Danio rerio: one gene and its partner. The protein of the gene in region 1 purifies or fractionates together with the protein of each later gene. This does not show direct contact. Links are inferred from orthologs where the notes say so. Each region holds a gene or a part of one and is shown on either strand. Other genes may lie near its edges.

Region 1 (4,229 bases):
ACGACATGCTCACAACATCCAATCAGATAAAAGGAACCGAAAAGCAACATGGTGTTTACGACATCACTGAGAAGGCAGCATTTAAAGGCTTACAAGCACAAACTGTTTCTCGATTCTAAGACTGTATTCATATGCAATTGACAAATAGTCGCAGACGAATTGAACTTTTGTGACAAGGCACTACGAATCGGGCCAGTAACAATTCTGTCTACTGTCCAGAGCGCCTCGCACGCTGGCCCCGGGCCACCGGGCAGTCCTTATTGTTGAGCCCTGTTTTATTTACTAAACTGATTTGATGCATCATATTTTTGTCATCAACATACCTTCCCTGATCCGATTTGATGGTATCTGTTCTCCAGCAGTTTCTGAACAGGCTCTTCTAAAGCGAATGTCACAAAGCAGAATCCCCGTCGCTCATTCGTCTTGGTGTCTGTGGGAAGCTCGATGCTTTCAATCTTTTGAGAGAAAAAAAATACAGATTGGATTAAAAGTACCAGTTTGTGGGCCCTACTTCCAAAAAATATACATTCCTTTCCTTTTTTATGTGAAATATTAGCTCTCGTACAGATTTGAATTCAAGTCACTCACTTCCCCATAAACTCCGAAGTATTCCCGGAGCTGTTCCTCAGTAATGTCTGGACTGAGACCACCAACGAAAACCTTCTTAGGGGGTTCCTTGCCCTTGATGGCTTTGGCTCTCTTGGGATCAATTAATTTACCATCCAGCTTGTGCTCCGTCAACTCCAACACCTAAAAACAACCCATCAAGAAACAGCTATGAGCAAACTTTTGTTCATATATTTGCATCATACACAATGACTGACAAGGGCTCGCATACCCGGTCCACGCTCTCAGCATCTTTGAAGAGCACGAATCCAAAGCCCCTGGAGCGGCCGGTCAATGGGTCTGTTTTGATGGTGCAGTCGAGGACCTCTCCAAACCTGGACAGGTAATCAGTGAGGTCTTTCTTGCTGGTGTCCCAACTGAGTCCACCAATGAACATTTTCCTACACCAAAACAAACAAGATTCAAATCACGTCACTGAATTAACAATGCATTACCATCTACTGTAACATAATAAACCGGTTTTATTTTTAAGCTCAGTACTTTCACTTAAATACAAATTATAAACCTTTGAATTAAAAAATATGTATATATTTACTAGAAGAACTAAATCTGACAGATGTTTTAGGCTTCCCAAAGTACAATTATTTAGAATTACTTCATAAAATAATCTATGCAGTTATATTAGTTACTAAAAGTTTTGTAAAATATATATTTACCCTTTTCATACATTAAAAAAACGCTAAAGCCATGTTGGTAATTGTTATGCAAGTATCACAGTGTGTAAAATGTTTTATAATATTATTATTATTCATTAAAATAAATATTAAATGCAAGTAAAATGTGATATAGTGTTTGAAAGGACCTCAGAATGGAATCGTTTTGTTGTTTAGAATGAAATCAATATGCGAGTTTGGACTTTCGAAGAATTATGAGTAGGCCCACACGAAATCTGCGCGTTCATTTTTTAAGCCCATCATTAAGTATATTTATTTACTTGTATAAACGTGTAAATTTATATATATTCCGTTTTTAAATTAAATTCAGGGATAATAAATGAATTTCAGAGATATTATTAACTAATTTAAAAAGGTGCAATTGATTTATTTACAATACAGTTTATGAAATAATATATTTTAGTCTTTTAGTAGATATATTAAACAAGAGGCTTGCTTTGTTTACCAAATAAGTGGATCTGATTGGATTTGCATTGTAAACATTAAATAAAAGTTAAAAAGGTACTACTTTTAATTTAATATATTAAGTTTTTTTTAGTTATGATACTACCAAAACCATTATGCATATTAAATCTGCAAATTTTTTTTTTACAAATTATCTCAAGAAATAGCAAAAAGGCCTGCAGATTCTGTCTGGCCCTTCAATTATAAACTCAGTCACAGCTATTTGATTAAATTCCATTGCGTTTAGTATTAGTAATTCTCAGAATAAATGTTATTATATTTCATAAATGTATAATATTCGAGTAAATCGTGAATTTATAGCTTAATTACGATTCGTACGTAATCTGATATCCCAAAGAAGTACAATTTAGTAGGTATTAATGATGAATTTGAAAATTTAAATTAATAATTAGCATGATAAAAACACAGTAACGTTAAACGTTACCCTTTTCCCTCCCACAAATTTCCAAAGGTATTAAATAACTTATATTACATTCATTTCAAAATAAATGCATGTTTTATGACATAACTATTCTTCCGATGCGTATGTTATATGTTATAGCAATTTTGAAAGCGTTATAAACGTTAATAATATTACGCACAAACTGGACGCCAAGCCATTAAGTTAGATGCTAATCTGCAAACGGGTACGTAATGAACAACAAGATTCTAGGCGTCTTTAAGCTTTATGTTGTGCATATTAATAACGTAGACATTTTAAAAACGTATTCCATTTGAATTAGTCGTTTAAAGATGAAGCAGACCGGCGTCTGCCTGCACTAGTGTCTCTTAGCGGGGTGTCGCAGGCAGGCCGCTCTCCGGGACTCACCCGTCATCCTCCTGGTTTTTACTCGCGTTTATTTTGGAGCCTTCGGGAAACTCATCGGTGCTAAAGTCACCTTGCTCTTCGGCCTGCATTTTGAAGTATGTGTAGTTATTTTGATCCTCCGCGAGATATATATTATAGATTATATTACGCCGGTTTTAAAAGGTCAAACACTTCAACACGAATAAAGTGCCGCGTTGATTAAAATGGCGGACGGACGGAGATCAGTGACGAAATCCGTCTGCACGAGAAAGAGAGGCAGTGGGCGGAGCTTATGCAAATACATTTATTTGTTTATTTACTTTTGTGTTTATTTACGTTTCATTCAATTATATTACCTAGTGACAACATTAGACAGTTTATAAAATTATCGTGTTCCTTGTCACATCCTCCTTTGCTCTAGTTTGATAGTGAAAAATGTCATTTCTTACAATATTATTTTAAACTATTGCATTAAATACACTGATTTGTAGTTCAAACTGGCTTGGTTTGGTCGCCCTGCCCCATAGACGACGCAAAAATGAAAGTTGGAAACAAAACAGGAAAATAATTCATAATGAAACTATGAAAATGTACTCATATGAACAAGACCCGTATAGTTTATTTAATATTTTATGCAAACACAGCATAGGTATATATTTGTACAAAAAAAAAAACATAAATAACAATAGCATGAAAATTATAAATATATTAAAGGAGCGACATAAATACATATATTTTTTAAAAGATAAACCACAGGCATCCACAATACTAATACAAATGCTTACAAATATGTATAATGATGTATTATAATGTGTAATAATCATAATAAGATTTTAAATCCACTTTAATGCACTTCCAGAAGATTTTGTTTTATAATAGCTACAAATATAAATTATTTTATTTATATTAAAATATCTTGTACGTACAATTAGACATTGATAAAATTAAAAATTGTGCAAATTACACAAAATAACGTCTGCCCGAACACTATGCAGGTGCTACTGTGTTTTTTCAAAACAATTTTGATATTCAGAATACACAAATGAATAAACTTTATGCGATAGGTAAACAATTTTACAGTTATTTTTAGCTTATTTACTTCCTCACCCATCCCAGCAGCAGGGTTGCCAGATGGAAAACAAAAATAAAATCTAATACGGGCTACACGTCGTAATTCTAAACAACAGATAGATTTAATAACTGGAAACAGCAGATAGATGCTAAAATGGTAATTGTGTATTGTTTTCTAAAATCTATTATTATTATCATTATCATTATTATTATTATTATCAATTTCTGTTAATTATTGAGTTGTAGTCCACTATGTTAAATATAAATATAAAATTTACATGCATATATTCACGATTAAAAATCAAATGTATTGCAAATAAAACGCATAATTACCTAAAATCTATGCTGACATGATGACAGAGGGTGGAGACTTTTCTGCGCAGAACCTGGCAACCCTAACCGCTCCATGTGTTAGCTCGCCGCTAGCCTGCGTGCTATTATTGATTGATTTGTCAAAATCTGAGCCTCGCATCCGACAGAATCGAACAAAACACGAGACTTTACCACACATATACATCGTTTGCCATTGATAAAAAATGGCAGCGATTGCAATACCAGAAAACACCAGAGTCTTTCTTCTGGACATTGAAGGAACTACGACGCCC
Region 2 (3,500 bases), on another chromosome or scaffold:
CCTTAACGTGGAGTTTAAAAATCCCAGAATGTCTTTCAAACAAACAAACAAACAAACAAACAAACAAAAGTGTTCTGGCCAATTTGGCCCACTGGCCTCCTAACCATGCCCGTGTAAAATAAACTAAAACAATATGTAATGTAAATATTACAAATATTAGATAGATTGTTCTTAATTTAATAAATTAAGTTTAATTTGTTTTTGTTTTTTTATTAATTTTGATTTTATAACAAATTTTGATCATTAAAATAATTAATGATAATTAAAACTAAATTTAGTTTTTATAAGTAGGAAATGTATAAAATCAAAAACAAAAATACAGATTCAAAAACGTAATTATACACACACACACACACACACACACATATATATATATATATATCAAAACTAACAAAATTACGATAGAAGCATACAACAGAAGAGTTATTAAAACCTAAACCAATTAAGTGTGAATAAATAAGTGTCAACAAACTAAATAAATAAATAAATACAATCATAATAAAGCACCTAATAAACAGCATTACAATTTACAGATAATACATGATGCTAAAACAACAATATTGCACACAATTTAGATCAAGTTCAGCTTGAAGCAAAGATCTTACTCTTGGTTTTTCTGATTGCCTGTTCAGGTACTTTTTTGCCATCAGTTTCTGCTTTTTTCAGCGTCCTCTTTTTATATTCCTCATCTGTCGGACAGACGACCACTGCTTTACGCTGAAACCCGGCAAACAGGCACATTTTCCTTTTCCGGGCTGAAGCTGAAACATTGGTCTAAACGAAAATACAACAATGAACTTAACGTCACACGTACAGGGTGCAGAGATTACTGTATAGTTTAATATGACACTTAGTTTATTCACCTGATCGAGAATGTAGTTGCGTTTTTTCCGTGCTGCGATCTCAATGAATTTACCCAGAAACAGAGGAGCACGCAGGGAAATCTCTAAGAGCTTTGTCACGTCTTTCATCTGTCGTTTCAGCGTGGAAATCTGAATCGAAACATCAAAAACACATCGGTAATGTAATTTTTGTAATAATACATTGCATGTGTATGTTTTCATATTCATACACACGTTTGAACCACTCAAAAAAATTACTGCTCAATTCACAACACAGACCTACACACACAAGCTTGTTCTTAAACTCCTTCTTCTGCTAGTGAATTTGGAGTCTTGTGAGTGCCTGTGTAAACTAGGTTAATAATTTGCATAATACACGCCCAAACCAACTACATATAAAGGCTTTTAAGCAAAGAGGCACTCATCCGGAAAAAGACAAATATGGCATCAAAAAAAAAAGACAAAGGAAAAGAACTACATATTCATTAGGCGTACCTGTCTAACTACTCGCTAACGCAAATTTCTAATTATCCAATAACATGGCAGCAACTCAATGCATTTAGGCATGTAGACATGGTCAGGACGATCTGCTGCAGTTCAAACCGAGCATCAGAATGGGGAAGAAAGGGGATTTAAGTGACTCTGAACAAGGCATGGTTGATGGTGACAGATGGGATGGTCTGAGTATTTCAGAAGCTGCTGATCTATTGGGATTTTCACACACAAACATCTCTAGGGTTTACAGAGAATGATCTGAAAAAGAGAAAATATCCAGCGAGCAGCAGTTCTGTGGGTGCAAATGCCATGTTGATGCCAGAGAAGAATGGCCAGACTGGTTTGAACCGATAGATAGGCAACTGTAACTGAAATAAGCACTTGTTATATCCGAGGTATGCAGAAGAGCATCTCTGAGCACACCATTAGTCCATTAGTACCAATTGAGCAACGTGTCAACGCCACAGCCTACACGAGTATTGTTGCTGACCATGTCCATCCCTTTATGACCAGTGTACCCATCTTCTGATGGCTACTTCCAGCAGGACAACGCACCACGTCATAAAACGCAAATCATCCCAGACTGGTTTCTTGAAAAAGACAACGAGTTCACTGTATTCAAATGGCCTCCACATTCACCAAATCTCAACCCAATAGAGCACCTTTGGGATGTGGTGGAACGGGAGATTTGCATCATGGATGTGCAGCCGACAAATCTGCAGCAGCTGCGTGATGCTATCTTGTCAATATGGACCACAATCTCATTGGAATTTTCCAGTACCTTGTTAAATCTAAGCCATGAAGGAATAAAGCAGTTCTGAAAGCAAAAGGGGATGCAATCCGATACTAGTAAGGTGTACCTAATAAAGTGGCCGGTGAAGGTATACTGTATTATCAATATTTAACATCTAGTTATTTTTTATCCACCCAGTAAATAATGTATCTAATTATATGTAGTTTTATACATGTTTATAAGGTTCAGGCGAACCTTTTAATGTACATCTACAATAAATTTAAGAAAAATGTTGATAAATCATGATGTAAAATTACCACACACACATTTCATGCAAAATGTGTGCGCACGCATGTTTAGTGAATGAGATGCATTGTCGTCTGTTAACACTCACCATCATCTTCTCTAGGATTGTGTCCGTCCCCAGAATGTTGTATTTTCCAGGATTGGCTTCTGTGTGCTTTGTGACCCACTCCGTTTTTCCAGATCCAGGCAGTCCGACCACCACAATGACCTGAGAGGATTTGCAGAGGATTTCAGTGTTTATGATTTTCACAGATTTCACTGATTTTATATATAAAACAACAACAACAAAACACTATTTCATACACATGTGGCTTATATAAAGGCTATTTCATCAGTCTAATAAAAAGAAACCATTCATTTTCCTTCGGCTAAGTTTCTTATTTATCAGTGGTCACTACAGCGGAATGAACCGCCAACAATTCCGGCATATGTTTTATGCAGCAGATGCCCTTCCAGCCGCAACCGGTTAAAGGGAAACACCCATACACTCTTGCATTCGCACACATTCTCATAAACTTCAGGCAGTTGAGTTCATCCAATTCACATATACCACACACCTTTGGACTTGTGATGGAAACCGAAGCACAGGCAAGAAACCCACGCCAACATGGGGAGAACATGCAAACTCCACACAGAAATGCCAACCGACTCAGCCAGGACTTTAACTAGCGATCTTCTTGAAGGGGGCCACAGTGCTAACCACTGAGCCACCAGAAAGAGAACATACAAAATACAAGTGTTTGTTTTATAGCACTTTATCAATTTATGCCTTCATATTGTAATTAAATTGTGTATTGCAAACAGGCTGTTAGATCAAAATGAGTTTTTTTTCATTTGAACTGAGCCATAAATCCACACTTCACCAGCATATACGTGAAGAAAAAATTATTAGCCCTCCTGTGAAACTTAAACTCTTTAAAATATATATATTATTTAATATAAATTATATATATCTAGGCAAAAGTCTTATGTCTTTTGCCTGCAATAAAAAAATATTGATAACTTAATTCCATAATATTAGCCCTCTTTTATGATTCACTATAAAAACAAGCCACTGTTATCCACTGACTTGCCTAGTTAACCCAATTAATCTAGTTAGGCCAGCTCTGCACAAGACTTTTGGC

Evidence for each region. The genes of interacting proteins can lie anywhere in the genome.
Region 2: the proteins of hnrnpdl (region 1) and hnrnpua purify together in Homo sapiens (affinity purification with mass spectrometry; 3 studies listed by BioGRID and IntAct, with this or other methods). This does not show direct contact. The link is inferred for Danio rerio from reciprocal best matches to the Homo sapiens genes HNRNPDL and HNRNPU.

What each region holds. Positions count from the first base shown.
Region 1 is NC_133185.1:5,496,226-5,500,454, forward strand, and holds the start of hnrnpdl (heterogeneous nuclear ribonucleoprotein D-like), read right to left. Parts: upstream 2,801-4,229; 5' UTR 2,664-2,800; coding exon 2,575-2,663; intron 1,008-2,574; coding exon 839-1,007; intron 751-838; coding exon 589-750; intron 456-588; coding exon 324-455; intron 1-323. Other genes in the region: enoph1 (enolase-phosphatase E1), read left to right, coding at 4,161-4,229. UniProt on the Homo sapiens protein: Acts as a transcriptional regulator. Promotes transcription repression. Promotes transcription activation in differentiated myotubes. Binds to double- and single-stranded DNA sequences. Binds to the transcription suppressor CATR sequence of the COX5B promoter.
Region 2 is NC_133192.1:12,679,454-12,682,953, forward strand, and holds part of hnrnpua (heterogeneous nuclear ribonucleoprotein U), read right to left. Parts: intron 2,585-3,500; coding exon 2,465-2,584; intron 993-2,464; coding exon 864-992; intron 775-863; coding exon 606-774; intron 1-605. UniProt on the Homo sapiens protein: DNA- and RNA-binding protein involved in several cellular processes such as nuclear chromatin organization, telomere-length regulation, transcription, mRNA alternative splicing and stability, Xist-mediated transcriptional silencing and mitotic cell progression.